3 linked regions of the Macaca fascicularis genome follow. The protein of the gene in region 1 interacts with the protein of each later gene in a pairwise test. Links are inferred from orthologs where the notes say so. Each region holds a gene or a part of one and is shown in the gene's direction. Other genes may lie near its edges.

The links.
Region 2: the proteins of GRB7 (region 1) and LAX1 interact in binary tests that used the Homo sapiens proteins (3 or more experiments, as listed by UniProt). The two-hybrid records come from large-scale screens. The link is inferred for Macaca fascicularis from reciprocal best matches to the Homo sapiens genes GRB7 and LAX1.
Region 3: the proteins of GRB7 (region 1) and KCTD6 interact in binary tests that used the Homo sapiens proteins (3 or more experiments, as listed by UniProt). The two-hybrid records come from large-scale screens. The link is inferred for Macaca fascicularis from reciprocal best matches to the Homo sapiens genes GRB7 and KCTD6.

Annotation. Positions count from the first base shown.
Region 1 is NC_088390.1:60,792,133-60,803,000, forward strand, and holds the start of GRB7 (growth factor receptor-bound protein 7), read left to right. Parts: upstream 1-3,511; 5' UTR 3,512-3,531; intron 3,532-5,396; 5' UTR 5,397-5,576; exon of another isoform or gene 5,577-5,725; intron 5,726-8,249; exon of another isoform or gene 8,250-8,615; intron 8,616-8,736; exon of another isoform or gene 8,737-9,189; intron 9,190-9,368; exon of another isoform or gene 9,369-9,719; intron 9,720-10,492; exon of another isoform or gene 10,493-10,578; intron 10,579-10,868. Other genes in the region: MIEN1 (migration and invasion enhancer 1), read right to left, coding at 490-573, 660-736, 1,155-1,252, 1,366-1,454. UniProt on the Homo sapiens protein: Adapter protein that interacts with the cytoplasmic domain of numerous receptor kinases and modulates down-stream signaling. Promotes activation of down-stream protein kinases, including STAT3, AKT1, MAPK1 and/or MAPK3. Promotes activation of HRAS.
Region 2 is NC_088375.1:61,585,431-61,596,465, forward strand, and holds the start of LAX1 (lymphocyte transmembrane adapter 1), read left to right. Parts: upstream 1-5,190; 5' UTR 5,191-5,343; coding exon of another isoform or gene 5,344-5,384; exon of another isoform or gene 5,385-5,517; 5' UTR 5,518-5,566; coding exon 5,567-5,655; intron 5,656-11,035. UniProt on the Homo sapiens protein: Negatively regulates TCR (T-cell antigen receptor)-mediated signaling in T-cells and BCR (B-cell antigen receptor)-mediated signaling in B-cells.
Region 3 is NC_088376.1:121,608,336-121,618,735, forward strand, and holds the end of KCTD6 (BTB/POZ domain-containing protein KCTD6), read left to right. Parts: intron 1-2,971; 5' UTR 2,972-3,014; coding exon 3,015-3,041; intron 3,042-5,542; coding exon 5,543-6,229; 3' UTR 6,230-6,946; downstream 6,947-10,400. Other genes in the region: ACOX2 (peroxisomal acyl-coenzyme A oxidase 2), read right to left, coding at 9,984-10,046. UniProt on the Homo sapiens protein: Probable substrate-specific adapter of a BCR (BTB-CUL3-RBX1) E3 ubiquitin-protein ligase complex mediating the ubiquitination and subsequent proteasomal degradation of target proteins.

The DNA of each region.
Region 1 (10,868 bases):
GCTGTCCAGAAAGCCCACCCAAGCCAGCACAGCCACCCTGGCGGTACAAAGGCTGGGCCGGCCGGACTTCTGTGCCCCCCACATTCCCAGATTGGACATATAAAAACACACACTAGTTAGCATTAGTGTTTGTAGTGCCACTTTACTGCCAATGGCTGACATTGCCCTGGGTTGGGGAAAATAAATAAAATCTACTGTGGCATCAGACAGGTATTACCGAGGTGAAGAGTGGACCAGGCTTTTGTGGGCACTTATCCTGGGAAGGGGGTATAAGGTGGCTGGGGAAGTGTCCGTGGAGAGTGTCTCTCTCCTGCCCCCAAGGCCATGGAATCTTATTCCTTCCTCGTACCCAAAAGGGCAAAGTGGAGGCCAGGGTCTCTTTGCTAAGGAGCTAAGTAAGGGAAAGAGGCAGGGGGAGCTCCCAGCAGGACCAAAGGGAGACCAAGGCTTGGACCCCAGAACAGAGCAGGAACCCAGAATCCTGTGCAGTCACAGGATGACGCAGGGAGGACGGCTGTTGGTGATCTTTTCTAGGGGTTCTCCTTTACTGGCTCTTCGGATGGCCTCAATGAGCTAGAGGACAGAGATGTGGAATGACAGGATGATGCACTGTTGGGGTAGGATGACCCAGAGGTCCTCCCAACACTGCAAATACTCACATCTTTCTCATAGGGAAAGCCCCCATTCTCCAGCTTGGAGAACACCAGCTGTCCATTTATCTCTATCTCAAAGGCACCTGGTAAGAAATCAACAGATAAATAAATGGTACACTGAGAACATAGGCAGAAATCAGGAGTTCCTTCAAAGGGGTCCCCCACCACTCCCACTGGAGACCCATTTGTAGCTCCTTAAGCCATTCCCCAACCCTGGGTCAACTCCAGGGAACCTGAGGGAGGCCCCGCCTGTGTGCCCCTGGCAACAATGAAAGACTCCCTCCCCTCCAACCCTACACGATTGCAGTCTAATAGGTTTTTTCCCCCGCAGGCCTCTGTGAACCCCCTGACATATGGAAGGGAACTCATGTTGGCTGGACATTTTACCATGTGCCAGGCACTGCAGGCACTTTACATAAAGCAGCCAATGTCAGAACTAGAAAGCGGGAGAGCTGGGATTTAGAGTACAGACTGACTCAGCAGGTGTTCCATGAGCCTCACCTGTGCCCCCCAAGCGCGACTCGATCTCGATGCCCGGATACTGCTCCTTCACAGCACTGGCCAGCTCCAGGTAGGTCGCCTCGAAGCCGCAGGGTTCACTGGGGAGAAGAAATGGGGCTGGGCTGGGGACTCGGGGGTGGGGCCTCCCGTGGACCCACCTCCGTCCGGCCCACGGGACCAGGGTAGGGGTCCTCCAGCCGGGACCGCTCACCAGTACTCCACCATGATGCGGACCCCACTCCCCGGCTCCACCTCCTCGGGAGGGGACGCTACGGACGTCTGCCCCGGCTCCCCGCTCATAGCTGCCTGCTCCGCTCGGGCCCCTGCTTCCGGGTGTGACGCGCTCAGCGGGCACGTGACGGGGCGGGGCCTCTGGAGCGTGGCGGGGCCGAGCGTGGCGTTGGGGCGGGGCCGAGCGTGGCGTCCGGGCGCCCCCTGTAGGCCTCCGCCATTGCTACGTTTTGACCTCGTACGGCAGCTCCGGAGCTCGCGCCCCGGGCAGAGTCTGGGAGAACCGGTACAGACCCTCCTTCCCCGGCCCGGTCTCCCGGAATGCCGGGCTTCCCCCACTCCCGATGTCCGCCGGACTTCACGGCTTCATTTACTCTAATGGACTATCTTAGACTGCAGAGCGCTTTTCAGTTTACAAAAGAAAGAGAAAGCGGTGGGGCAACCATCCTGGAGATGGGAGTGGGTGTGGCTGATGTATGAAATAGTTGACATTTTCTCGCTCACATGCTGATGGCATTTGTTGTTTTTTTTCACTCTTGTTGCCCAGGCTGGAGTGCAATGGCGCGATCTCGGCTCACTGCAACCTCCGCCTCCGGAGTTCAAACGATTCTTCTGCCTCAGCCTCCCAAGTAGTTGGGACTACAGGCGCGTGCCACCGCACCCGGCTAATTTTGTGTTCTTAGTAGAGACAGGGTTTCACCATGTTAGTCAGGCTGGTCTCGAACTCTTGACCTCAGGTGATCCACCCTCCTCGGCCTGCTTAAAGTGCTGGAATTACAGACATGAGTCACCGCGCCCGGCCCAGTTTTTTGTTCGTTTGTTTGTTTTAGGAGAGACAGGGTTTCACCATGTTGGCCAGGCTGGTCTCGAACTCCTGACCTCAAATGATCTGCCCGCCTTGGCCTCCCAAAGTGCTGGGATTACAGGCGTGAGGCACCACGCCCGGCGCTGATGCCATTTGGAACCGCCCTATAGTTACATACCCAAGTGTTTCTGATCCCAAAGCTCTAAACTGCTTTTTCCAGTCTTTTGTAACTGCCTCTTGCCTGCACTGGAGAACCGTAGACACTCTTCAGGCTGTGTGCCCCCAACAGTTCCTGCACATCCCCTTCTTATCCAGCCTCTCACTGGGGGACTGGTGTCATTATTCCCATTTTGCAACTCTGGAAATGGAGGCTGCTCAGGTCCTCGCTGCCTTTTCCCTGCCTGCAGTACCGCTATGGTATCCTAGCACGCCACTCACTCTAGTGTCTCTTTAGGCTATTTTTCTTTTTCTTTTTCTTTTTTTTTTTTTTTTTTGAGACGGAGTCCTGCTCTGTCACCCAAACTTGAGTGCAATGGTGCCATCTCGGCTCACTGCAACCTCCGCCTCCTGGGTTCAAGCGATTCTCCTGCCTCAGCCTCCCTAGTAGCTGAGATTACAGGTGCTAGCCACCACACCCAGCTAAGTTTTGTATTTTTTTTTTTTTTTTTTGAATCGGAGTCTTTCTCTGTTGCCCAGGTTGGAGTGCAATGGCGCGATCTCAGCTCACTGCAACCTCTACCTCCCGGCCTAAGTGAGTCTCCTGTCTCAGCCTCCTGAGCAGCTGGGATTACAGGCGCCAGCCACCCCGCTGGCTAATTTTTCTATTTTTAGTGGAGATGGGGTTTCACCATGTTGACCAGGCTGGTCTCAAACTCCTGACCTTGTGATCTGTCCACCTCGGCCTCTGAAAGTGCTGGGATTACCGCTGCACCTGGGCTTTTATATATATATATATAAACAGTCAGGGCATGGTGGCTCACACCTGTAATCCCAGCATTTTGGGAGGTCAAGGTGGGCGGATCACTTGAGGCCAGGAGTTCAAGACCAGCCTGGCCAACTCAGCAAAACCCTGTCTCTACTAAAAATACAAAAATTAGCTGGGTGTGGTGGCGCACACCTGTAATCCCAGCTACTCCAGAGGTTGAGGCAGGAGAATCGCTTGAACCTGGGAGGTGGAGGTTTCAGTGAGCTGAGATACCACTGCACTCCAGCCTGGACGACTGGACGACAGAGTGAGACTGTGTTAAAAAAAAAAAAAAAAGAAAAGAAAGAAAATGCTGTCATTTGTACAGTTGCCTAACCATCACCACAATCCAGTTACAGAATGTTTCCGTCAACCTGGTAAGTCCTTCCCACCTGTTTCTGGTCAATTCAGCTCCCAATTCCAGTCCTATGCAACCACTGATCTGCTTTCTGTCTCTAACTTTGCCTTTTCTGGATGTTTCATATAAACAGAATAATATGCTATGTGGTCTTTTGCTTACGGCTTCTTTCACTCAGTATGTTTTTTGAGATGCATTCATGCTGTAGCGTCTAGAGTAGTTTGTTCCTTTTCATTGCTGAGTCGTATTCCACGTGTGGTTTTGCCACATTTTGTTTCTTAATTCACCAGTTGATGGATATTTAAGGTTCCAGTGTTTTTTGTCTATTTTGAAGAATGCTGCCACAGATGTTTTGGTGTCTTTGCATAGGTGTGTGTTTTCATTTCTCTTGGGTAGATTCCTAAGAGTAGAACTGCTGGGTCATGTGTTAAGTTTATGATTAACTTTTTTTTTGAAACAGAGTCTCGCTCTGTTGCCCAGGCTGGAATACAGCAGTGCAAACACTGCTCACTGCAGCCTCAACCTGCTGAACTCAAGCTATTCTCTTGCCTCAGCCTCCTGAATAGCTGGGACGACAGACACGCACCAGCATGCCCAGCTAATTTTTTTGTATTTTTTGTAGAGACAAGGTTTTGCCATTTTGCCCAGGCTAGCGTTTAACTTTTTAAGAAACGGCTAGACTGTTTTTCAAAGTTTTCCCACCAGCAATATATGAGGATTCGTCGCTCCATATCCTCACCAATACTTGTTTTCTGTCTCTTTGATTATAACCATCCTAGTGGACATGACATGATATATAATTGTGGTTTTAATTTTCATTTATCTAATGACTGTTGTGTATCTTTCATGTAGTTATTAGTCATTCATATACATATTTGAAGAAATATCTATTCAAGTCTTTTGCCCATTTTTATTAGGATTGTTTGTCTCTTTATTATTGATTTGTAAAAATTCTTTATATATTTTGGATATCAACCAAAATATATACAACCATATATACAACCATATATAGTTGTATATGATTTGCAACTATTTTCTCCCAGTCTTTGGCTAATTTTTTTTCTTTTTTCTTTTTTTTTTTTCTTTCTTTCTTTTTTTGAGACAGGGTCTCACTGTGTCACCCAGGCTGGAGTGCAGTGGCACAATCTCGGCTCACTGCAACCTCCACTTCCCAGGTTCAAGCAATTCTTGTGCCTCAGCCTCCCAAGTAGCTGGGATTACAGGCATGTGCCACCATGGCCCAGATAATTTTCTGTATTTTTAGTAGCAATGGTCAGGCTGTTTTTGCTATATTGGCCAGGCTGGTCTGGATCTCTGGCCTCAAGTGATCTGCCTGCCTCTGCCTCCCAAAGTGCTGGGATCACAGGCATGAGCCACTTCACCTGGCTTCATTTTTTCTTTCTTTTTTTGAGACAGTGTCTTGCTCTGTGACCCAGACTGGAGCGCAGTAGCACAATCACAGCTCACTGCAGCCTCAACTTCTTAGGCTCAAGCGATTGTCACACCTCAGCCCCACCAAGTAGCCAGGACTATAGGCCCGCACCACCATGCCTGGATAAATTTTATATTTTTTGTAGAGATGAGGTCTTGCCAGGTTGTCTCGGCTGGTCTCAAACTCCTGGGCTCAAGCAATTAACCTGCCTCGGCCTCCCAGAGTGCTGGGATTACAGGTATGAGCCACCATGCCTGGCCTCTTCTTCTTTTTTTTTTTTTTTGAGATGGAATTTTGCTCTTCTTGCCCAGGCTGGAGTGCAATGGCACCATCTTGGCTCACCACAGCCTCTGCCTCCTTGGTTTAAGCGATTCCCCTGCCTCAGACTCCTCAGTAGCTGGGATTACAGGTATGCGCCACCATGCCTGGCTAATTTTTTTTTTTTTTTTTAGTAGAGATGGGGTTTCTCCATGTTGGCCAGGCTGGTCTTGAACTCCCGCTTCAGGTGATCCATCCACCTCGGCCTCCCAAAGTGCTGGGATTACAGATGTGAGCCACCGCGCCCGGCCTCCACGAAGACTATCTCCCATGGTTTCTTCTAGAAGTTTTATGGTTTTAGCTCTCACATTCAGGTATATGATCTATATCGAGTTTTTTTTTTTTTTAATGCATTCTGTGAGCAAAAGATCTAAATTCACCTTTTGGCATGTGGCTATTCAATTGATCACAGTACCATTTATTGAAAAGCCTATCCTTTCCTCCATCAAATTGTCTTGGCACCCTGTAAAATCAATTGAGAAATGTAAAAGGGTTTCTACTTGGACTCTGGATTCTGTTCCATTGACCTATAAACTCATTCTTATTTATTAGTATTACTATTTTTCCCCCGAGATGGAGTCTTGCTCTGTCGCCCCAGCTGGAGTGCAGTGGCACCATCTTGGCTCCTTGCAACCTCTGCCTCCCGGGTTCAAGCAATTCTCCTGCTTCAGCCTCCCGAGTAGCTGGAATTACAGGTGCACACCACCACGCCCAGCTAATTTTTATATTTTTAGCAGAGACGGGGTTTCACCATGTTGGCCAGGCTAGTCTCAAACTCCTGACCTCGTGATCCACCTGCCTCGGCCTCTCAAAGTGTTGGGATTACAGGCGTGAGCCACCATGCCCGGCCTTGTTGTTGTTGTTTTAAAATTCAGATACAACTTATACACAGTGAAATTCATCCTCTTGAGTGTACCTTTCTTTTTTTCTCTCTTTTTTTTGAGATAGTCTCACTCTTGTTGCCCAGCCTGGAGCGCAATGGCTCACACTCAGCACACTGCAACCTCTGTCTCCTGAGTTCAAGAGATTCTCCTGCCTCAGCCTCCTGAGTAGCTGGGATTTTAGGTGCATGCCACCACGCCTGGCTAATTTTTGTATTTTTAGTAGAGAAAGGGTTTTGCCATGTCGGGCAGGCTGGTCTTGAACTCCTGACCTCATGATCCGCCCACTTCATCCTCCCAAAGTCTTGGGATTACAGGTGTGAGCCACCGCGCCCGGCCTTGAGTGTACCTTTCTATGAGTCCTAAGAAACACACACAGCTGTGCATCCAACCCCACAACCAAGATACAGAATGGTCCCATCACCTCCCACAAGTCCCTGTGCCCCCTACTGTGGACCCCTCTCCCTCCTCCCCAACCCCAGACCTGCTTTTTGTTCACACAGTTCCACCCCCTCCAGAAAGCCATATAAGTTGATTCCTACAGCACTCAGCCCTCTGACCGTGGCTTCGTTTCCATCCCATCCTTCACCATCCAGGATGATCTTTCTAAAATGTAAATGTGCCCTCTCCTCTGTGCTTCTACTTAAGTCTAAATACAACTTGAAGGGTCTGGTCTTTGACCGCTACTCCTGCCCATCTGGACAAACAGGATGGATGGCTCTCAAACCTGGCTTGCGGAACAGCCACCTGAGGGCTTGTCAATACCACACCTTCCTGTGTCTTAGCCCCACAGACTGAGATTCAATTGCTGGAGAGGATCCCAAGGATCTGTTTTCCACACAAGGTTAGGGAGGTCTGGAGGCCACATTTGCAGAAGCATAGCCGCCTCTCTCCACACCTTCCACACCTGTCCAGGTTCACCCACGTGGCCTCTGCTTCCTCCTTTCTCCTCCAACCCCACTCTCTGTCTCCGCATGCTGCATCCCCTCCTCTCCAGAGCTCTGGCAGTGGTTTCCTCACTTGGGAAGGTGGCCTCCTTCCCCAGTTCCCATCCACTGATTCCAACCCCCTTCCCATGTCAGCCACCTTCTCCTCTGCTCAGCTGTCACCTCCACAGAGAAGTCTTTCCTGACTCCCTATGTGAGTCATTCTCCCAGCATAGTTGTCTCCTGTCATTTCTTATTTGTGTGATTCTTTGATTAACATCAATCTTCCTGATTGGCTGTGTGAGGATAGGGTGGGGTCTGTTTTTGTTGCTTACCCCAGTATCCCCAGCACCAAACATGGGGCTGGCATATGGTAGGTACTGAACAGAGAGTTGAATAAATTAATGAGTGAATTGTCTACTCTGCCTTTGCACAAGCTGCTCCATCACCCAAGAGACCTTGCCTCCTCCCCCACTTCTTTGCTGGGCACGTTCATACCGGTTTTCCTAGGAAAACTCTGGAGAAAATTGAGGCAGGAGTCACTCCTCTGTGCCCCCCCATGGTGGACCTCTTATCACCCTAAGGATTGTTTGTTTTCCTGTCACCCGCATCAAGCTGGGTGGTGGCCACAGCCTTTGATTTCTGCCTCCCAACCCTTCTCCCAAGTACCCTGTTTGCCCAGTGCTGAACTAGAGAGCTAAAGTGATCCCTGAGAGAACTAAATCGATCCCTCAGGCCGGGTGCGGTGGCACACACCTGTAATCCTAACACTTTGGGAGGCCGAGGTGGGCAGATTACACGAGGTCAGGAGTTCGAGACCAACGTGGCCAACGTGGAGAAACCCCGATTTACTAAAAATACAAAAATTAGCTGGGTGTGTGGCCTGTAATCCCAGCTACTCGGGAGGCCGAGGCAGGAGAATCTTTTGAACCCAGGAGGCGGAGTTTGCAGTAAGCCGAGATGGCGCCACTGCACTCCAGCTTGGGTGACAGAGCAGGACTCTGTCTCAAAAAAATAAAGTGATCCCTCTAAGAGGAATCTCCAGGGGCCCAGGCCAGAGCTTTCTCTGGGTCACCATGGCTTCTCCCACTGTGCCACCCAGCCTAAGCCCCTCGATTTTAAAGGGGAAGCCAAGACTCTAGACTTTGCTCAGAAGGTGGGGGGCGGGAGAGGGGCTTACCCTGGGTGCCTCTGAGGGGCCAGGGCACAGCCACCATGGTATGGGTGCCTGCAGATCGACGGGCAGGCCATGTTGCTGGACACCCCCGTGGCTGGCGTCCCTCCTTGGCAGGGTGCTCTTTGCTCCATGGGGTGGGATCCAGAGCTGCAGAAGTGCCCCCTGGCTTGGCCAATGAACAGACCAGGTTCAGGGAGGATGTTTGGGAGGAGTGGACCGGTGGTTCCCTTTACCTTGCAGCCCTCAGACCCTCCCCCCGCCCTCCCAGGTGGTCGGGACTCTTGATCTTCGCTGTTGGTGCTGTCTGTTCGGCTGTCTTCCCCGCCTCTTCCTAGGCACCTGCACCCTCTCTTGGCACCTGCTGCCAGGCTAGGAAGGGCAAAAACAATCCCAGTTGGCGTAGAGTGTCAGGGAGTCCCCACCCTCCTCCCAGGCTTCCTCCTCCCAGGCGCCTCCCCTGGACACGCCCCCATCTGCCCAAGATAATTTTAGTTTCCTTGGGCTTGGAATCTGGACACACAGGGCTCCCCCGGCCCTGACTTCTCTGTCCGAAGTCGGGACACCCTCCTACCACCTGTAGAGAAGCGGGAGTGGATCTGAAATAAAATCCAGGAATCTGGGGTTTCCTAGACGGAGCCAGACTTCGGAACGGGTGTCCTGCTACTCCTGCTGGGGCTCCTCCAGGTAAGGGGACAGAGATCGGTCTCAGACAACAGTCTGCCAGGCAACCCCCAGCCGCACCAGGGCCCCAGGCTGTGCCCGTCTCCGGCCGAACTGGCCGTCGGCCCAGGTGGGCGGATTGGAGCCACCTGGCTCTCCCCCTCCCCCGCTCGGTGATGTCAGGCCCGGGGCGGGGGCTGGAGGGGGACAGGTACTTAAGGGCCTGGCGTCTCCCTCCCTGAAGACGTGGTCCCAGCCGGGTGTCCTGATGTTCGGGGTTCAGGTAAGAACCCAAGCGGGCATTCATCCTTTGGGGGCAGGCACGGCCGGTCTGGGGGCCGGTAGGGAAAGGCTGGGTCTCCTGCTGGGTTGCTCGGCCTCCCACTTTTCTCTTTTCCTCCCATCTCCCACCCCGCCCCCTCCTCCCCACCCGCCCTCTTTCGTCCCCATCCTGGTTTCCAGCCCTCCTTGTTCCCTCCCGGTACACCTCCCCGAAGCCAGCAGCGAGAATGGGAAGGAAGACCTGATTCTCTCCTCCGACTTGGCTTTCCCGCTGAAACTGGCCCCTCCCCGCACACCCTGGGAGAGCCGCCCTCACTCCCTGGCTCGCCCAGTTTACCCCAGTTTGGGTTTCCCCAAGTCTCTAAGACAGACGTCTCCGCGGGCTGCGGGGAGATGTGGGGAGGGCCCCCTCCACTTTGGAGGACGGTGAAGGAGAGGGATCCTCTAAATTGTTGAGGCTCCATCTCTCCAGACTGTATGCCCTGCTCAGCAACATCGCCTCCGGCCCTCGGGTGGGAAAGTGGAGGCCGGGTGAGCCGGGGTCCCTCCTGGCTTCAGCATGAAGTGGCCAGGAAGGCTAGAGGGGTGGGTGAGTGGCTCTGCAGTGCGGTGGGGCCTGGGGAGAGTGGGGTAGGGGATGGCAGATGGTTTCCTCTGCTTGATGAGGCTAAGGAGAGACCCAGGTACCCGGTCTGGGTCTCCCTGGCAGATTGAGGACAGGGAATGCACCTGCCGGCAAGGTGGAACCCCCCCTCGCCGCCCCGCTCCAGCCTCACTGCCCACCAGGAATGCTCCCTTTTGGTCCGCCGGTCTTGGACTCTGCTCTCTCCTGATATCCTGCTGTGTGCGGGGTGGGGGGACCTCATGGAAGCAGGCAGCCTGTAATGATTAACCGCACAGACACTCCAGCATTCTTCCCGAATTAAACTTTAAAAGAGCTGCCCCGCCTTCTCTCATTGGGTATTTTTCCTGAGTGAGAGTGGGCGGGGCCTCAGAGTCCTGGGTCCTCCCTTCTACTAGGAGTCATCCAGGGGTTTCTCACCTTCTCACCTGGGCCCTGCACCCTAAAAGGTTATAAGCCTGTCCCGTGGGGGCGGGGCGTGGAGTACTGGGCGGACAGGGACGCTCCCGCCACATCCAGGCCCCTGGCCCAGGCCTCAGTCCCGCAAGCCCTTCCCCCTACTCTGGGAAGTAGAGTTGTTTTCTGTTGGCCCTGAACACCGGGCCCCGCCACCCGCCCTTAGGGCCAGCCAGGTGGGGCGTGATTCAGGAAGTAAACAAGGAGGTTGGGAGGACGGGAACGCGGGTGGGGCTGGAGCCACTGGGGGAGGAGGCAGCTGGGAAGACACCGCCGGAGTTACCTCGTTGAGGGGACAAACTGATTTTGGAGGTCGGTTTTTCCAACCGAAACTTTCCCGGTGCCTCAGTTTCAAAACTCCAGATCTCTAAGCTGCCAGGCCTACAGCCAGGAGCCCTTCCCCTCCCTGCTCGCCTCTTTGGTCTTGAGGATTCCACCCGCCTCCAGCCTTAGAAGGGGCTGAAGGGCCCGGGTGGGGGGATCTGAAGGCAAACCCCAGCCTTAGGCTGGCCCTCTCTGATCTCTGAGGCCAGGCTGTAATGTGATTCGAATCCACTTCTAACCCCTTCCAAGCGCTGCCCGCCTGAATTCTCTGCTCCTCT
Region 2 (11,035 bases), on another chromosome or scaffold:
GGAGATGTCCCATCAATATGTATTTAAAGCATAAAGTAACACCTGAAAGGCAGGCAAGTAAACATCAAGAAAAAAAAAGAGAAAGGCCAAAGGGATCCATTAAGAATAAAGAAATGAGCTAGTGTCATAATAGTAGCCCCATTGAATGAGCTCTTAAATACGCCTAGTCCTACACCAAGCATTTTTCGTTGTTGGTCCAATTAATTCTCACAACAGCATTACATAAGTAGTAGTATTATTGTCATTTTACAACCAAGGAAACACCCAAAAAGATTAAATGAACTGCTAAGGTCAGCCAGGAAGTAATTTAGAACTTGAACTCAGGTTGATGCTTTTAACATGTGCTTTCTGCCTTCACAAAGAGAACTTCTGCAAAGTTTCTGGTGTTAGCAACATCATGAAAATAACATGTAGTTCCCCCATCCCCACCAAGGGACTTTGTGGACTTAGATACATAAATTATTTCTATTTAAAACCAATCTTAAGCCAAGTACTGTGGCTCATGCCTGTAATTCCAGCACTTTGGGAGGCCTAGGCAGCTGGATCACTTGAGCTCAGGAGTTGAAGACTAGCCTAGCCAACAAGGCGAAACCCTGTCTCTACAAAAAATACAAAAATTAGCCGGGCATGGTGGCATGGCCTGTAATCCCAGCTACTTAGGAGACTGAAGAAGAAGAATCGCTGGAATCCGGAAAGTGGAGTTTGCAGGGATTCTAGATCATGCCACAGCATTCTAGCCTGGGCGACACAACGAGACTCTGTCTCAAACAAATAAATAAATAAAACCAGTTTAGGGCCGGGCACGGTGGCTCACACCTGTAATCCCAGCACTTTGGGAGGCTGAAGCAGGCGGATCACCTGAGGTTGGGAGTTTGAGACCAGCCTGGCAAACATGGTGAAACTCCATCTCTACTAAAAATACAAAATTAACTGAGTGTGGTGGCACTTGACTGTAATCCCAGCTACTTAGGAGGCTGAGGCAGGAGAATCACTTGAATCTGGGAGATGGAGATTGCAGTGAACTGAGATCGCGCCATTGCACTCCAGCCTGATTGACAGAGCAAGACTCCATCGCAAAAAAAACAAAAAACAAAAAAAAAAACACATACAAAAATAACAGTCTAGGCCAGGCACGGTGGCTCACGCCTGTAATTCCAGCAAGCTGGGAGGCCAAGGCAGGTGGATCACGAGGTCAGGAGTTTGAGACTAGCCTGGCCAACATGGCAAAACCCCGTCTCTACTAAAAATAAAAAATTTAGCCAGGCGTGGTGGTGAGTACTTGTAATCCCAGCTACTCAGGAGGTTGAGGCAGGAGAATCACTTGAACCCAGGAGATGGAGGTTGCAGTGAGCCAAGATTGTGCCATTGCACTCTGGCCTGGGCGACAAGAGCAAGACTCTGTCTTAAAAAGTAAATAAATAGGCCGGGCGCGTAGCTCACACCTGTAATCCCAACACTTTGGGAGGTCGAGGCAGGTGTATGACAAGGTCAGGAGTTGGAGACCAGCCTGGTCAATGTGGTAAAACCCCGTCTCTACTAAAAAAAAATACAAAAATTAGCCGAATGTGGTGGTGCACGCCCGTAGTCCCAGCTACTCGGGAGGCTGAGGCAGAAGAATCACTTGAACCTGGGAGGCAGAAGTTACAGTGAGCCAAGATCACGCCACTGCACTCTAGCTTGGGCGAGACAGCAAGACACCTTCTCAAAAAGAAGAAAAAAATATATATATATAAAATATATATATAATATATATAAAACTCCCCTCAAAAATATATATAATATATATTTTATATATACACACACATATATATATATATATATATTTTTTTTTTTTTTTTGAGCAGAGTTTTGTTCTTGTTGCCCAGGCTGGAGTGCAATGGCATGACCTCAGCTCACTGCAACCTCTGCCTCCCTGGTTCAAGCAATTCTTCTACTTCAGCCTCCTGAGTAGCTGGGATTACAGTCATGTGCCACCACGGCCAACTAATTTTTTGTATTTTTAGTAGAGATGGGGTTTCTCCATGTTGGTCAGGCTGGTCTCAAACTCCTGACCTCAGGTGATTCACCTGCCTCAGCCTCCCAACTTGCAGGGATTACAGGTGTGAGCCACAGTGCCTGGCCAAAAACCAGTCTTAACACTTTAGAATTCTGTCAGAGGCTTGTGAACCAGAGCAACTCCATCTTGAATAGGGGCTGGGTAAAATGAGGCTGAGACCTATTGGGCTGCATTCCCATACAGCTAAGGCATTCTAAGTCACAGAATGAGATAGGAGGTTGGCACAAGATATAGGACATAAAGACTTTGCTGATAAAACAGGTTGCAGTAAAGAAGGCAGCTGAAACCCACCAAAACCAACATGGCCATGAGAGTGACCTCTGGTCATCCTCACTGCCACACTCCCACTAGCACCATGACAGTTTACAAACGCCATGGCTACAACAGGAAGTTACCCTATATGGTCTAAAAAGGGGAGGCACGAATAATCCAGCCCTCGTTTAGCATATCATCAAGAAATAACCGTAAAAATGAGCAACCAGTAGCCCTTGAGGCTGCTCTGTCTATAGAGTAGACATTCTTTTATTCCTTTACTTTCCTAATAAAGTTACTTTCACTTTACTCTGTGGACTCACCCTGAATACTTCCTTGGGCAAGATCCAAGAACCCTCTCTTGGGGTCTGCATCAGGACCCCTTTCCTGTAACACCTTTCTGGCAACCACTGAAGGGACTATAACGCAGAAACCCGTAACCCAACGGCTAACTTTGGGTAAGCGTTGGGGTCTGGTAACAATCATATGTAACATCCGACCCCAGAAAATCATGAAAAGTGGTTAAAACACTAGAGCAGGCTGGGTGTAGTGGCTCACACCTGTAATCCCAGAATTTTGGGAGGCCGAGGTGGGCAGATCACTCGAGCCCAGTAGTTTGGACCAGCCTGGCTAACATGTTGAAACCTCATTTCTACTAAAAATACAAAAATTAACCATGTATGGTGGCGTGTGCCTGTAGTCCCAGCTACTTGGGAGGCTGAGGCAGGAGAATGGCTTGAGCCTGGGAGGTGGAGGTTGTAGTGAGCAAGAGCATGCCCCTGCACTCCAGCCTGGGCAACAGGAGTGAAACCCTGTCTCAGAAAAAAACAACACCATCAACACCACTAGAGCAATCGGATTTAAAACATACACTGCTTAGCCGGGAGCGGTGGTTCCTGCCTGTAATCCCAGCACTTTGGGAGGCCGAGTTGGGCAGATCACCCAAGGTCAGGAGTTCGAGACCAGCCTGACCAGCATGGAGAAACCCCGTCTCTACTAAAAATACAAAATTAGCTGGGTGTGGTGGTGCATGCGTGTAATCCCAGCTACTCTAGAGGCTGAGACAGGAGAATCGCTTGAACCAGGGAGGCAGAGGTTGCAGTGAGTCAAGATCACGCCATTGCACTCTAGCCTGGGCAACAAGAGCAAAACTCCACCTCAAAAAAACAAACAAACAAACAAACAAACAAAACACCCCATTTCCCAGTGTTTTGTTTTTTCCCCGCTATTATGATGAATCATTTCAGCTACCGACTTTTTGTTTTAGTTTGTCAGTTTGATTGGATTTTGCCCCATGGGGAAGGAAAGGAGAGCAGGATGAGGGGCACAGCCGGGGCCTGGAAACCTGGCACTCACCTGCAGCCTGGGGCAGGTAACGTGTGCAGCTGCCTCTGAGGTGGTGATTCCCCTCAGATGTGGGGGCAGGAGAGAATCGGACAATCAGAGGGAAGATTGGTCTAACTGCAGCAGATTGGGTAGATAAGATAAGTGAGGCCTTGAAATGATCACATGCAATGGAAAAGTTCTTTCAAAAAGAAAGAATTTTTTTTTTTTTTTTTTGAGTAGCATTCATGGTTCTGAGGTTTGGTTCCATGTGTCCTTTCCTTGTACTGCCTTCCAAGGTCCTGATTCACACACAGTCCCTATTGGTTCCAATGGCCCAGGACCCCAGTCCCTGCCACCAGCATGATGGATCTTGTGAGTAGTCCTAGTTCCTACTCAGACCTGATCCAAAGGAGAAGTGGGCAGAGACCCAGGTTCCAGCTCCAGCACCAGCTGCCTCTGAGCTATTTCTGCTTCCTACCAGGTGAAGCTCCTAGGAGGGAAGGGGTCCAGGACCTGGATGATGAAGCTCTGTGGAAAGCCAGCCACGGCCAGTCTGCAGCCCCTGGGGACTCTGTGAGAGTCTGGATGCAGACAAGCCAGGGGCTGTCACCTCAGGAAAGCTGAGGACCTCAATGTCCACTGGGAAGAGATGGGAGGGAGGCATGGTTCTAGGAGGGTACTGCTGGTCTGCCCTTCCATTCATCTGGGAATTCATTTCACCGTGGAAAGTGCAATCAGAGAAGTTCTTCTTCACATCCTCACAACAGTCTTAGTGGCCCCTTCTCTTTGGACTCTCCCAAGATGCAAAGAGTGTTTCTGGAGATTAGTAGGCTCAAGAAGGGAGGGGAGTTAGCAACAAATTTTTAATGATCTTCAAAGTTTGGAACACTTTGGGTAGCTCTTAGGGATGAACTTGTTCAGCTTCTGAGACAGATGTGTGACAAGTAAGACTGCAACTGATCTTCAGAAGAGCCCTGAGAACAGGAGATCACCAGCAGCCAGGAGCTGTGAAAGGTCACCTTTGGGGAGCAGGGGTCCTGCTAAGCCAGCATAACCTCTATTCTTAAGGTAGTGCCCAGAGAAGAGGTTCCCAAAACATGAAACAGACCAGCTCCATCAAAATCACCTGAAAGCTCCATCAAATTCACCTGCAAAGCATTGACATCCAAAGCCTGCCCCCTCTGCACCCTCCACCCACTGAATCAGAAGAGGGTCCCGGAGATCTGCATTTGACTCTAAAAGGCAACCTCCAGTGCTCCTTAACTTGCTTAGAAAACACTGTAAAACTGAAGACTTGTAAAACTCTAAGTGTCTCAGAAACCCAGGGTGAAGAATCACAAGTTCTCTACTACCCTGCCCCATTTTTAATCACACTCATCACAGACCACAGAGCACCTGGCAAACCCAGGGAACGGTGGGTTAAAGATATGTTTTCTTCTAGCAGATTAAGAGCTGAGCAGCGTTTCCTGTGCCCTGTGCTTCATTAGCACATTGGTGGTGTCGTTTCCGGTGACTGACTCTCTGTTTCCATTCTGGCAAAGTGGTTTGCTCTTTTCACTCTGCTTTGGGTGTTGAAGGAAGATGAGCTTCTCACGGAGCCTCTCCTGAGCCTCTTGGCAGTTTCCCCCTCTGTGCCCCTCACATTTCCACCAGAAGGCAGAGGCCATAGATTCTCCCTGAGCCACCTCACTTGGAAGCACCACGTCCGGATGAGATTGCACCTCCTGCAGCGGGCATTAGCCACGTCCAGGTAGAACCAAACCTGTTGCTTTTGTATGTTGGGTCAACTTGGCCTGACATTTCAGAGGTAGACACAAGATAGGCAGTTTGTTGTGGGGGTGGGGAGAAGTGGCAGACATGCTGGCTAACTGATTATGATTAAGAGAAACTTAGAAGCTGAAACCAGAGAGCATCTCAAAGGTTCCTGATACAATGGATGGTGTCACTCCAACCCTTTCGACAATCAGAGGAAGGACCTTGGAGTCCAGCACTCTGCATGTGACTCCCCGCAGCCTGGACAGGTGAGTGACTCAGGGTGGTGAGCTCCACCCTGCCCTGATTTAGGCAGAAGGTCCTAGTCCACACTTAGGAGCTTCTTACACAGCAGTGCTGTCTCCTCTCAATACCCAGGCTCGGGTCTACTAAGACCACCAAACTCTAGGCTTGGAGGCATTTGCTCAGGGGTGCTAGGGGGAAAGGAAGGTATTGAGGAAAGAAAGAAGATATTTGGTAGAGGAAAAACTGTGGTAACACTGGTCCTTAAAGCTAGTTGCTTAGACTGGTTGGATTTCTCACCTCTCAGAGGCCCTGAACCCTATTGTCAGTCTTTCCCAGGTGTCACCATGACAGAAATGAAAGGCTGAGTTTTCCAAGGATGTGTGTTGAGATCCAAAAACTTGTCATGAATAAAATGTAGTGATAAATATAATAAAGATATGTCTTTTTTTTTTTTTTTTTTTTTTTGAGACGGAGTCTGGCTCTGTCACCCAGGCTGGAGTGCAGTGGCGCGATCTCGGCTCACTGCAAGCTCCGCCTCCCGGGTTTACGCCATTCTCCTGTCTCAGCCTCCCGAGTAGCTGGGACTACAGGCGCCCGCCACCTCGCCCGGCTAGTTTTTTGTATTTTTTAGTAGAGACGGGGTTTCACCGTGTTAGCCAGATGGTCTCGATCTCCTGACCTCGTGATCTGCCCGTCTCGGCCTCCCAAAGTGCTGGGATTACAGGCTTGAGCCACCGCGCCCGGCCATAAAGATATGTCTTTAGGATGTAAAATCTTAGAGGACTAATCGTGGGTATAAATTACTGCTACTACTTTCAATCTCATACAAACAAAATTAAAAATCCACCCACAGTTGAAACTTTAAAAACATTGGTAGCTGACCAGGTACGGTGGCTCACTCCTGTAACCCCAGCGCTTTGGGAGGCCGGGGGCGGCTGGGGCAGATCACCTGAGGTCAGGAGTTCAAGACCAGCCTGGCCAACATGGTGAAACCTCGTCCCTACTAAAAATACAAAAATTAGCCAGGGGTGCTAGCGCGCTCCTATAGTCCCAGCTACTCGGGAGGCTGATGCAGGAGAATTGCTTGAACCCGGGAAAGAGGTAGCAGTGAGCCGACATCATGCCATTGCACTCCAGCCTGGGCAACAAAAGCGAAACTCTGTCTCAAAAAATAAAATAAAATTGCAGTTGTCTGGGAAAATAAATGTTATTACCATGGCAAACACATGTCACTTGCAGGTAGACATGAGTATCGATGAGCAATGAATTCACAAAAATCAGAAGCCTGAAGCATCCCTCCAAAACTATTTCTTCATTTATTTTTATTTATTTCTTTTTTTTTTTTTTTTTTTTTGAGACGGAGTCTCGCTCTGTCGCCCAGACTGGAGTGCAGTGGCGCGATCTCGGCTCACTGCAAGCTCCGCCTCCCGGGTTCACGCCATTCTCCTGCCTCAGCCTCCCGAGTAGCTGGGACTACAGGCGCCCGCCACCATGCCCGGCTAATTTCTTTTTGTATTTTTAGTAGAGACGGGGTTTCACCGTGTTAGCCAGGATGGTCTCGATCTCCTGACCTCGTGATCCACCCGCCTCGGCCTCCCAAAGTGCTGGGATTACAGGCTTGAGCCACCGCGCCCGGCCTATTTTTATTTATTTCTAATTGGCAAATCAAAATTGTATATATTTATCATGATAGCCTGTTGTTTTGAAATATGTACACATTGTACAATAGCTACATTAAACTAATTAAGATACACATTACTTCACAATTTTCTTTTGTGGTGAGAATACTTAAAATTTCTCAGCAATTTTCAAGAATATGACACATTTTTATTAACTATAGTCATCAACACTTTTTTTGTTTTGTTTTGTTTTTTTATTTATTTTTTTTTTTAGACGGAGTCTCGCTCTGTCGCCCAGGCTGGAGTGCAGTGGTGTGATCTCTGCTCACTGCAACCTCTGCCTCCCAGGTTCAAGCTATTCTCCTGCCTCAGACTCCCCAGTAGCTGGGATTACAGGCATGCACCACCACCCCCGGCTAACTTTTTTGTATTTTTGGTAGAGACAGGGTTTCTCCATGTTGGTCAGGCTGGTCTCGAACTCCCTACCTCAGGTAATCCACCCATCTTGGCCTCCCAAAGTGCTGGGATTACAGGCATGAGCCACCGCGTCTGGTCCATCAATACATTTTTATTGACTATAGGCATCATGTTATACAACAGATCCCTTTAATTTATTCTTTCTCTCTAACTGATATTTTGTATCCTTTGACCAACCTCTCTGCAACCCCTCCCTGATAACCACCATTCTACTCTCCACCTTTTTTTTTGAGACAAAGTTTCACTCTTGTTGCCCAGGCTAGAGTGCAATGGCACAGTCTTGGCTCACTGCAACCTCCACCTCCCAGGTTCAAGCGATTCTCCTGCCTCAGCCTCCCCAGTAGCTGGGCTTACAGGCATGAGTCACCACACCTGGCTAATTTTGTATTTTCAGTAGAGTCGGGGTTTCTCCATGTTGGTCAGGCTGGTCTCGAACTCCGACCTCAGGTGATCTGCCTGCCTTGGCCTCCCAAAGTGCTGGGATTACAGGTGTGAGCCACTGTGCCCGGCCTCTACTCTCCACTTCTATGAGTTTAGCTTTCCACTCCACATGAGTGAGATCACCTGGTTTTGTCTTTTTGTTCCCTGGTTTATTTCATTTAACATAATGACCTCTAGGTTCACTCATGTGGTCGAAAATGACAGGATTCCCTTCTTTCTTTTTTTTTTTTTTTTTTTGAGACGGAGTCTTGCTCTGTCGCCCAGCTGGAGTGCAGTGGCCGGATCTCAGCTCACTGCAAGCTCCACCTCCCGGGTTCACGCCATTCTCCTGCCTCAGCCTCCCGAGTAGCTGGGACTACAGGCTCCCGCCACCTCGCCCAGCTAGTTTTTTTTGTATTTTTTAGTAGAGACGGGGTTTCACCGTGTTAGCCAGGATGGTCTCGATCTCCTGACCTCGTGATCCACCCGTCTCGGCCTCCCAAAGTGCTGGGATTACAGGCTTGAGCCACCGCGCCTGGCCTAGGATTCCCTTCTTTCTTAAAGGCTGACTAGTATTCCATTGAGTATATATACCACATTTTTTCATCCATTCATCCATTGATGGACACTTAGGTTAATTCCATATTTTGACTATTGTGAATAATGCTGCAATGAACATGGGAGTGTAGACATGTCTTTCAAATATGATTTCATTTCCTTCAGATATATACCCAGTGGTGAGATTATTGGATTATATGGCTCGTATGGTAGTTCTTTTCTTTTTTTGAGAGAAAGTCTCACTCTGTCGCCCAGGCTGGAGTGCAATGGCACAATCTCGGCTCACTGCACCTCCGCCTCCCGGGTTCAAGAGATTCTCCTGTCTCAGCGTCCTGAGTAGCTGGGAAAACATGCGTGTGCTGCCACGCCCAGCTAATTTTTTTCTGTATTTTCAGTAGAGACAGGGTTTTACCATGTCGGCCAGGCTGGTCTCAAACTCCTGACCTCAGGTGATCTGCCTGCCTCGGCCTCCCAAAGTGCTGGGATTACAGATGTGAGCCACCACGCCCTGCCTTGGTAGTTCTATTTTTAATTTTTGAAGAACCTCCATAGTGTTTTCCATAACGGCTGTACTACACTTAAAACTATTTCTATGTTAGTTCATTTATTTATTAATTCAGTCATTCATTCATTTAACAAATATTCATCAGGGCCCTACAAAGTACCAAGCACTATTTAAGGCACTAGGTGAACAGGATAAACAAGTCCATAACTACTGGAAGCTTATAGTCAAAGGGGAGAGTCAAATAAAGAACAGAGCTGAATGTGGTGGCTCATGCCTATAATCCAAGCACTTTGGTAGGCCAAGGCAGGAGGATCAGTTGAGCCCAGGAGTTCAAAACCCAGCCTGGGCAACATATGGAGACCCTGTCTCAATGTTGTTGTTGTTGTTGTTGTTTGGTTTTTTTGTTTTTTTTAAATAAAAAAAAATGATAAACAGATAAGCATATGAATGTATAGTATCAATCAATCAGGCTGGGCGTGGTGGCTCATGCCTGTAATCTCAGCACTTTGGGAGGCCGAGGCAGGCAGATCACCTGAGGTCAGGAGTTCGAGACCAGCCTGACCAATATGATGAAACCCCATCTCTACTAAAAATACAAAAAGTAGCCAGGCGTGGTGGTGCACACCTGTAGTCCCAGCTGCTCGGGAGGCTGAGGCAGAAGAATTGCTTGAACCTGGGAGGGGAAGGTTGCGGTGAGCCGAGATTGTGCCACTGCACTCCAGTCTGGGAAACAAAAGCGAAATTCCATCTCAAAAAAAAGATACATCAATCAGTCATCAGTGATATGAAGAAAAAATGGAGCACAGCAAGGGGACTGCAAGTAATAGGGTGTGGCCATAGAAGACCTGTCTGAGGAGATGACATTTGACATTTCAGAAGAGACCTGAATGAGAGGGACTCAGTCATGCAGACAGCTGGGAGAGGAAGGTTCCTGGGAGAGGGAGTGGCAGGTCTGACACAGAACTGTGCTTTGCGTGGGCAAGGGATCCTGGTAGTCAAAGTCAGAGGGAACGTGGTAGGAAATAAGGTCAGAGGTAGGCAGAGGCCAGATCATATTGTGCCATAAAGTCGTCACTGAGGAAGGACTATAGACTTTATTCTAAGTTACTCGAAGCCACGGAGAGTGACGAGCAGTGGAGGGATGTGATCTGACTTACTGTTTAGAATTATCACACTGGTTTTTGCGTGAAGATAGTATGTTGGGGCCAAGAGTTAAAGCAAGGAAACCAATCAGGAACGTTATTACAAAGATTCCTGTGAAACACAGTGGCTTAGACCCAAGTGGTGGCAACAGAGGAGCAAGAGGTGGTTGGGTTTGGGGTAAATGCCCAGGGTAATGCAGACAGAATCTATTGGTTGACTGGAAGTGGGGCATGAAAGAAAAAGAGCTCCAAGTCAAGAATGGCTCCAAGGTTTTTGACTAAGTCACTAGATGATGGGAAACACGTGGGGAGTAGCAGGTTTATGTGGGGAGATGTTTTGGTTTGAGATGTCTGTTAGGCAGCTAGTTAGAAATGCCCACTAGAAACTTGGATAGGCTGGGTGCGGTGGCTCACGCCTGTACCCAGCACTTTGGGAGCCTGAGGCGGGCAGATCATTTGATGTCAGGAGTTCAAGACCAGCCTGGCTAACATGGTGAAATCCTATCTCTACTAAAAATACAAAAAAAAAAAAAAAAAAAAAAATTAGCCTGGCATGGTGGCGGGTGTCTATAGTCCTGGCTACTCAGGAGACGGAGGCAGGAGAATCGCTTGAACCTGGGAGGCAGAGGTTGCAGTGAGCCGAGATCATGCCACTGCACTCCAGCCTGAGCAACAGAGCGAG
Region 3 (10,400 bases), on another chromosome or scaffold:
CTTTTTAAGAAACATGGGCTGTAGATTCCTATAATTGCTTTCCTGAATTATTAAGCGTGAGCTTTCATTACATCTTTGTACCGGAACTTTTGCTTTTGCTGTGGAACAGATTCAGGGACAGCATCTAATTTTTTTTTTTTTTTTTTTTTTTTAGATAACTGCTCAAGAAGTTATCTTGTTTTGATTTAGCAGTAAAAAAGAAAAAAGGGTTAATAGTGGACAGGCTTTTCGTTAACGGCTGCAACATTGATGTCTGCTTTTTTCCTTGTCTTTGATCTTCTGTTTCTTATTTAATCATTTGGATATTCATGGATTGGAGTTCTTTATGTCACTACAGACAGAGGACAGCAGCCATTATTCACACTAGTTGAATGGGTTCCTGCCTTTTTTTGGTGGCGGGGGAGGGCCTCAGGAAAATTTTTACAAACCCGTTATGACTAGTTAGGCTGAGTTACTGTAAAATTTGTAAATAAAACCCTACTGGGTGGATAGGGTTAATAGATGGCTATAGAGAGTTTAAAGTTAATCTTTTTCAATTTCTTGTCTCTTGGATTCTGTTCTTTCAATTTCTACCCTAGGAGGGGATTTATGGAAAAATCTAGACTAAGAGTCAGAACATGCGAGTTCTTATCTAGTTACTTCCCAGCTGTGGTGCCTCCAGCTAGTCACTTAATCTGCCTTGTTTCTCTGTTTTGCATCTTTAAGATGAGGATAGTAATCCATGCTCAGCCTACTGGTATCAGGAATGTTGTAGGGGGAAGAAGTTTTTCATGCCCCTGTCTTTTAAATTGTTTCTTCTTTCTAGAATCCCTTCTTAGGTTGTCCAAATTTTCTTTCAAGGATTCAACTGAGCGGGCTCTTCCCAGAGGTCCTCCATTTTCCCATTTGGAATCTTGCTTTTCCCCTCTTGCAGGCCTCTGCTGGTCCATCTGTTACATAGCGCTTTGAATTCTGTTCTGTACTTCAGTCATTGCATGTTGCCTTCCATTATAGATGGAAAGCTCCATGAGGGCAAAGATTGTTCTTTTCCTCTTTCTGTGTATCCACATTGCACATAGGCATCCCCTCCACTCCATAGATAACCCACAATAATTGTTGGTTGAATGAATGATTATTGAGGCTGTCAGGAATGAATACTTTGGGTGATGGGAAAATGCCAAAGATGAGCATCTTACCAGCACTTTTGGATGAGTGGCCTTTTAAATTGCTCAGTTGCTAATCTGTTGTTATCAGTAACTGAATCAGATCCTGGCAAGACAAATTGGCAAAGCCCATTTCTTGGTCCTGTTTACCTCGGATACTATTTGTGAAGCAAGCCAGAGGAATGAAAGACTGTCGTAACAGTCTTGAATTAGACATTTGTTCCATTTCTCACCCCATAGCATGTGGAGGCCTATCTCTATCCAGCTGCTGAGTGTAAAGAATAAACACTGACTGCCCCATAGCCTGGTCCACATTTTAGTTTGTGTGCTTTGAAGGATTTGCAAGGTAGAGAAATAGATGCTTCAGGCTCTGATTTCAGCCCATGCTGTGCTATGCAAATGTTCTCTACATGCCTGAGTGACCTTTTGAGAAAGAGCCTTTGTGATCTTCTATAGCCAGGGCTTGTTCTGGGAATTCTGTGCCAGATTCCTCTAAAAGTGGGAAAAGTGGATCTGTTAAAGGACCACGTAAAAAAGCTGGTGCTTTTCCTGGATGAATACCAATAATTCCATGTTTCTTACCATCTCTTGCCAGAGCTTTAGAAATTTGCTCTGCAGTTTGCTTTGCAGGTTGATTTGGGATTGAAGTGTGTGAGAGGGAACTGACTAAGGCAGTTCAGTAGCTGGGAAACTGTTTGTTTAAGTGCTTTTGAATTGTAGATAAAAATAAATTCACATTGGCATCATTAGTATCTGAGCATTTCTCAGTGTCTTAAGGCTGGCTCTCCATGAGTGCTGGCTGATTGAGTCTCATCTGTATTGGTAAGGTTCTTTTCGCCCCAAATTGTGCTCTTAACAGTTTGGCATTTAAATCGCTTTCTATTTAATTGTTGTACAAAGAGAATTACATCATTATTAAAAAACATCATCATTATTATTTTTTATATTATGAGATAAATACCATTCTGATGTATTTCTCTGGGAAAGGGATGCTGGTGTCCTGGGAGGTTTATGATTTTTGATGCTTTTACTCAGGTGACTGGCTTGTACAGCCGAAACACTGATGAAAAGAAGTTTTCCCCTTCTCCCTTTTCCTTTTTTCTTTTTTTTTTTTTTTGAGATGGAGTCTCGCACTGTTGCAGGGGCTGGTGTGCAGTGGCACAATCTCAGTTCACTGCAACCTCCGCCTCCCAGGTTCAAGTGATGCTCCTGCCTCAGTCTCCTGAGTAGCTAGGATTACAGGCGCCCGCCACCACGCCCGGCTAACTTTTTGAATTTTTAGTAGAGATGGGATTTTGCTATGTTGGGCAGGCTGGTCTTGAACTCCTGACCTGGTGATCCGCCTGCCTCGGCCTCTCAAAGTGCTGGGATTACAGGCATGAGCCACTGCGCCCCGCCTCTCCCTTTTTCTTAAATGACCTTTTTGGTGAGGACCATTATAGGTTTGTACCAGGATAAGGTTGTAGAGTTAATCATAATGTTCTCTTATATAAATTCTAAAAATTGATTTTCTAAGAAGAGAGGTAGAATTTGAATGACTGGGTTGCTTCCTAGACTCTTTCTCCTTCTCTTAAGTACCGGATAGTTCTTTCTCTGAAAATCTTCAGTCTCTTAGTTCCAGATGGGTTCTCTATGGTAAGAATACAGGACATGAAGGCCCTAGGGGAATGCTTTCTTCCCCAGATCTTTGCCCTGCAGTAGGTTTCAGCTGAGCAAGGATGAGTAGTTTTTCTGGTGTTTGGCCTCCTCTGTTGGGTGGAAAAAAACCTTTCTTCTTTATGTTCATAGTTAATATATGCTATCATATGTCTGTTTTTCTCCTCTTGAAGTTTCCCTGAAACCTGGGCTCTTGAAGACGCATCACTGGAGCAGATGGATAATGGAGACTGGGGCTATATGGTGAGTGCTTCTTGGAGATGCATTTTGAAGGCTGGGGAATTATTTTTGTGTGTACATAAGGATAACATGTATTTTTAGGTATATCTTATAAGAAAAGAAAATTGTGAATTTGTGTAACCTCTCTGCCCCCTTTTACTTAGTTTAGATGTAGTTTGGAGGTTGTTTTTGTCTTGTGTGGTGTTTTTAAAAGTTTTATTTTATTTTTAAATTTTTTTTATGTGGAGTCTTGCCCTCTTGCCCAGGCTGGAGTGCAGTGGTGTGATCTTGGCTCACTGCAACCTCCACCTCCCAGGTTCAAGAGATTCTCCTGCCTCAGCCTCCCGAGTAGCTGGGATTATCAGTGTGCACCACCACATCTGGCTAATTTTTGTATTTTTAGTAGACATGGGGTTTTACCATGTTGGCCAGGTTGGTCTCGAACTCCTGACTTCAAACGATCCTCCTGTCTTTGGTGTTTTAATGGAAGCAAACTCAAAATGGATTCTCCAAATACTTTTTATAATCACTGGAGAAGTAACGTGATTTTTTATTTTTTAAAGTATATTGCTCTGAAGACTCTTCGTGAATAGTGACTACAAAAGGATCTAGTGAGTAATGATATGGAGGATATTTTATTGTGGTTTGGGAGATTAATGGTTGAGAAAGTGCATCTTCTCCTACTCCTTTTTTTGTGTGTGCTTATGTCTCCCTATTTTTCTATTCCTTTGGTGTAAGGTATATTTTACTTGCCTAGTACCCGAAGTCTCTTTCTTTTTTTCTTTTTTTTTCTTTCTTTCTTTTCTTTTTTTCTTTCTTCCTTTCTTTTTTTTTTTTTTTTTTATTGTTTTGAGACAGGGTCTTGCTCTTTTGCGTAGGCCGGAGTGCAGTGGCGCGATCTCGGCTCATGACTTTCCGAGCTCAGGTGATTGTCCCACCTCAGCCTCCCAAGTAGCTGAGACTACAGGTGGGCACCACCATGTGTGGCTAATATTTTGTATTTTTTGTAGAGACAGGGTTTTGTCATGTTGCCCAGGCTGGTCAGCAACTCCTGGGCTCAAGTAATCCACCCTCCTTGGCATCCTAAAGTGCTGGAATTACAGGTGTGAGCCACCACGCCTGGCCTGTTTTTTTCTTAAGTAGTGTTTCTAAAACTGAAGGTATGTTTTTTAAGAGAAGCTTGCTTCTCAAAATTAAAGGCCAGATTGCAACATTAATGTTACAAAAGTGAATACACTATCAGATTATGAAATTTTATGGCTGCTGTTAGCTTTTGGGTATGTGATGATTTTTTGACTAAACTGTATATTTTAACTTAGTATTTGAAAGTATCACTTCCATGAAAAAGTTACCAAGATTAAGTCTGCACAGTTTTTAATTAAATTAATTAATTATTTTTGAGACAGAATCTCTCTGTGTTGCCCAGGCTGAAGTGAAGTGGCGTGATCTTGGCTCACTTGCAGCCTCCGCCTCCCGGATTCAAGTGATTCTCATACCTCAGCCTCCCAAGTAGCTAGGACCACTCAGGCACTACCATGCTCAGCTAATTTTTTTTTTTTTTTGTATTTTTAATAGAGATGGGGTTTTGCCATGTTGCCCAGGCTGGTCTTTTTTTTTTTTTTTTTTTTTTTTTTTTTTTTCTGAGACGGAGTCTCACGCTGTTGCCCAGGCTGGAGTGCAGTGGCGCGATCTCGGCTCACTGCAAGCTCCGCCTCCTGGGTTCACGCCATTCTCCTGCCTCAGCCTCCTGAGTAGCTAGGACTACAGGCGCCCGCCACCGCGCCCGGCTAATTTTTTGTATTTTTAGTAGAGACGGGGTTTCACTGTGGTCTCGATCTCCTGACCTTGTGATCCGCCCGCCTCGGCCTCCCAAAGTGCTGGGATTACAGGCTTGAGCCACCGCGCCCGGCCCAGGCTGGTCTTGAACTCCTGAGCTCAGGCAGTCCGCCTGCCCCGGCCTCCCAAAGTGCTAGGATTACAGCCATGAGCCACTGCACCTAGCCCAAATTTTTATTTTAAAAACAAATTTCATTGTTTATTCCTTTTGTTTGAAGGGGAAAAACCCAAAGAAATGCTGAAAGTAAATGTCTATATTATCAGATCATTTTAATTCTATCTTATGTTAAATTAAGTTCAGAAAAATGCAAGCCTTTAAAAAAAATCAGAAAAAAATAAGTGTATTTTAGCGTGGCTTTTCCCTTCTCACAATATATTCTGACCTGAACATTCTGTAGATAATGGGCCTGAAATGATGTGGCTCTGGAAGTCAGTGCCCTGGATTCTTAGCGTAAGTCTTTACATAATTGGATTTATCCTTGTTTTTTTTTCTATTGAAAGCAAATGTTAGATCGCTTCATCTGGGTGGGTTTATTGCTGGTAGTAAAGTCATTTTGCATTAGAGGATTACTAAATACATTATAGCCTGAAAGAATCTTGGGCTTTGCTCAGTATCACTTACTTTCTTAATTTGTCAAAGTTGGTATTTAAAAATTTCAGGTGACTGATTGTTTCTTTAAAAATTTCAGATGACTGACCCAGTCACGTTAAATGTAGGTGGACACTTGTATACAACGTCTCTCACCACACTGACGCGTTACCCGGATTCCATGCTTGGAGCTATGTTTGGGGGGGACTTCCCCACAGCTCGAGACCCTCAAGGCAATTACTTTATTGATCGAGATGGACCTCTTTTCCGATATGTCCTCAACTTCTTAAGAACTTCAGAATTGACCTTACCGTTGGATTTTAAGGAATTTGATCTGCTTCGGAAAGAAGCAGATTTTTACCAGATTGAGCCCTTGATTCAGTGTCTCAATGATCCTAAGCCTTTGTATCCCATGGATACTTTTGAAGAAGTTGTGGAGCTGTCTAGTACTCGGAAGCTTTCTAAGTACTCCAACCCAGTGGCTGTCATCATAACCCAACTAACCATCACCACCAAGGTCCATTCCTTACTAGAAGGCATCTCAAATTATTTTACCAAGTGGAATAAACACATGATGGACACCAGAGACTGCCAGGTTTCCTTTACTTTTGGACCCTGTGATTATCACCAGGAAGTTTCTCTTAGGGTCCACCTGATGGAATACATTACAAAACAAGGTTTCACGATCCGCAACACCCGGGTGCATCACATGAGTGAGCGGGCCAATGAAAACACAGTGGAGCACAACTGGACCTTCTGTAGGCTAGCCCGGAAGACAGACGACTGATCTCCGAGCCTGCCACAGGTTCCTGGAAACACGGAAAATAGTGATTTTTTTTTTTTTTTAAATCACAGTGTGAGATTTTTTTTTCTTTTAAATGTTTGTATTTATTTGAAGGCAGTGAGGACCAGAAGGAAGTTTTGTGCTTTGGCACACTCCTCCGTGTTTTGTTCCCTTCCTCCTGAGTATGCATGTGCCTGTTCAGAGTCTCCAGATACCTTTTTTATAAAAAGAAGTCTGAAAATCATTATGGTATATAATCTACCCTTAACAGAGCTTTTCTTATTACAGTGCTAGAATGATTTCTGATAAAATGGTCCCTAACTCAACTAGAAGGCTAAAAATACAAGAATGAAAGAATAAGCAGAGTACTCATGATGCCTTTGAGAAAAATCAAAACATCATGTAGGGTGACCTAGTTTCCAAACCAATAAATAAGTAGTATTGTAATATTAAAGGAAAACTGTTCCAATCATTTAAAAGTACTTATTAAGTACTGCTTTTTACAGTTATGACAACTGTTTCTTTCTATGCATATAAATCAAGGAACCAAATATCTGTAGCCATGGAAATGTCTGACTAGAAATATTTATATTGAATTCTGAATACAAAATGTCCCCGTGGTAGAAATCTTACTCTTTATGCCTGGTGCAGTATAATTCTCAAGTGTACTGTCTACCAGAAAAAAAAAAAAAAAAACTAATAAAAAGTGAAATATGAAAATTAAGTTTGTACTTATTGATTATTATTAAGGGGAGAAAAATCATATTCCTTGTCTAAAATATGCATTGTTTATGTCCCATTGTTTACTGCCTATAGCATATTTGTATTTAATTTGAGAGGACACAGTGGGATCTTAGGTTGCAGTTTATAAGAACTGTTGTGTCATTGAAGCAAGGATGGATGGAATTATTAATTTTGACTAAAAGGGTGCATATTTGAACAGTGAACATACAGTTTTTCATATTTTTCAAAAGAATTTATGTTGAAGATTACAGATTTTTCTTTAATTGCCCACGGTTCTATGACCATTACTTCAGTTTTCTGCTAAGCACAGGAACAAAATGACTGTAGCCCTTTATGCTCATGTTTTATGGTGATCCACAAATGTATTTTGTTAACAAAGTTAAGTTTGTTTATTTCTTTTTTTTTTTTTTTTTTTTTTTTTGAGACGGAGTCTCGCTCTGCCGCCCAGGCTGGAGTGCAGTGGCCGGATCTCAGCTCACTGCAGGCTCCGCCTCCCGGGTTCACGCAATTCTCCTGCCTCAGCCTCCCCAGTAGCTGGGACTACAGGCGCCCGCCACCTCGCCCGGCTAGTTTTTTGTATTTTTTTTTTTTTTTTTTTTTGAGACAGAGCCTCGCTTAGTCGCCCAGGCTGGAGTGCAGTGGCGCGATCTCGGCTCACTGCAAGCTCCGCCTCCCGGGTTCACGCCATTCTCCTGCCTCAGCCTCCCGAGTAGCTGGGACTACAGGCGCCCGCCGCCTCGCCCGGCTAATTTTTTGCATTTTTAGTAGAGACGGGGTTTCACAGTGTTAGCCAGGATGGTCTCGATCTCCTGACCTTGTGATCTGCCCGCCTCGGCCTCCTAAAGTGCTGGGATTACAGGCTTGAGCCACCGCGCCCGGCCAGTTAAGTTTATTTCTGAAGAGAAGAAACAAACTGCAGTGAATGAAGGACCTAGAACAGTTGGAGAAATACACGTACTTTTATTTATTTCCCTGTAGTCTTATTTTGCGTAGTTCATTTGCTTCTATTTCTTGAAAGTAACTCATAGGAAGGATTATTTTAATTATACTGAGACTTCCTACTTTGTTAGACCACCGTATAAAAGGAAGTCATGTAATTTATTCCCTATTTTCTAAGGGAAGAGTGGAACTCTGAGGCTGTGTGCCCTGGGGCAAGCAGGCCCCTCCTTTTCTCTTTCTCTCTGTGAGAATATTCTAAGGTTCTCTCTCTGCAAAGAAGATGACAGCACTTCCTTATGTCTATTTTTGCCCATGTCTCTGAAAATTTATTTTAAAATTTGACAAATGACCAACATCCAGAAACCTATAATTACCCTATTTTCACCGTCTTCAAACTAAGATCCTTTGATGTTATTGACAGGTTGCTGTGGTTTCAGTAAATCGATATACGAGTACAAATTTATCATTTTGGAAAATTATCTTATATTTAAAATTGATTTGATAGTTACCTTAAAAAAAAAAAAAGGCCCAACCAGTTAGTAACGTGTTGTTGTGCTAGCTGAGGTCAATATGAAATAAAATGATTTGGGTTGAAAACAGGTGTGGAAATAGGAATAATGCTAGTTCCCAGTTTTTATTTTTATTTTATTTTTAAATGATTTTTATTTATTTATTTTTGAGACAGAGTCTCACTCTTGTCACCCAGGCTGGAGTGCAATGGCGTGATCTTGGCTCACGGCAACCTCTGCCTCCCAGGTTCAAGCGGTTCTCCTGCCTCAGCCTCCTGAGTAGCTGGGATTACAGGTGTGTGCCATTGTACCCGGCTAATTTTTGTATTTTTAGTAGAGTTGGGGGTTTCACCATGTTGACCAGGCTGGTTTTGAACTCCTGACCTCAGGTGATTCACCTGCCCTGGCCTCCCGAAATGCTGGGATTACAGGTGTGAACCACTGCGCCCGGCCCAAGTTTTTTAAAGTTAAAAACTTATGAGGCCTCTTCTTTGTCCTGTTTACTGGAGATAAGTTTGCTTTTGGCAAATTTTCTCAAATTTACTAATTATTAACAATGAAATGATTGTTTATATGAGTAAATTAGGAAAAGTAGCCAGCTGAATTTTTTTTTTGTTGCCATTTTACTTGTGACATTTAGAGTGTTTTGTCTAATTGGGTAATTGAAAGTGATATGAAAAATGTAGCTTCATTATATTTGGGTAACTTGAGACAGTTATGTCTTTCAATGAAATTTTAAATCATTTTCACTGTGGAAGAGTTGATTTTTAAAAAATGATAGTTGCATTCTTCGAGCTGTATTTTATTTAGATTACAGCAAGTATAAGCACTTAGGAGGATTGTGTGTGTGCGTGTATGTGTGTCCTTTTAAACCCAAGGATAAGTGTGTGCTAAAAACACACTAACTAATGAGCCTATTGGCTTTTGCTAGATCTAAAGCAAAATCCTGGTATTTAACCAAATAGATGCTATAAATGGACAGTGGTGCGGTTTTACTGTGGGAAACTTCTTTTCTTTTTTGAGATAGTTCTTACTCTGTTGCTCAGGCTGAAATGCAGTGGTGTGATCACGGCTCACTGCGGCCTCAACCTTCTGGGCTCAGGCAATAAGCCTCTCAATAGCTGGGACCACAGACATGTACCCCTGGCCAATTTTTTATAGTTATTTTCATAGAGATGGCATCTCTCTATGTTGCTCAGGCTGGTCTTGAACTTCTAGGCTCAAGTGATCCTCTTGTCTTGACCTCCTGATGTGTTGGGATTACAGGCATGATCTACCCTTCCACCGGAAATTTGAAACACATTCAGAAGTAGAGAGAATAGTGTAATGAACACCCATGTACCTGCCCATTGACCAGCTTCAACAACTATTCACTTTGGCTTTTTTCTCCTATGGATTATTTTGAAGTAAATCACAGATATTTCACATATATCACTTCAGACTGTATTTAAAAGATAATGACTCTGAAACATAAATATCTAATTTAAAATTTTAATGTTGCATATATGCCATAGTACCAGTATCACATGATGGTGCTGGTTGCTTCTTGAATACTGTTGGTTATTTCATAGCTTGGATCTCCAACTTTGTAATAGTGGTCTTATATATTCCTCATAGGCAGGGTTCTCCTGTTTGTAGAAAGAAACGCATTATTAAGACAGTACATTTCTGCCAGGATTAATGACTTTTACTTTCAAATTAAGTCTTCAGCTTCAAAAAGTAACATTACGTAAGATTCTTAATTTTAAAAATTATTTCTAAAACTCATTTTGTGTGAACATATGGAGAAACATTTTTTCCAAAGGGCATCTTTCCTTTTCTCATGCAGATTTTAAATTGTGGATGCAGGTGGCCAATTAAAAACACAGCTTATCACTTGCTTTTGGAATTTAATACAAATAAAAGGCTTGACTCTTTGAGGCTCTCTGAAACTGAATATTAATCACAAAGCAAGGAACCAGATAGGGATCATATAAGCAGTA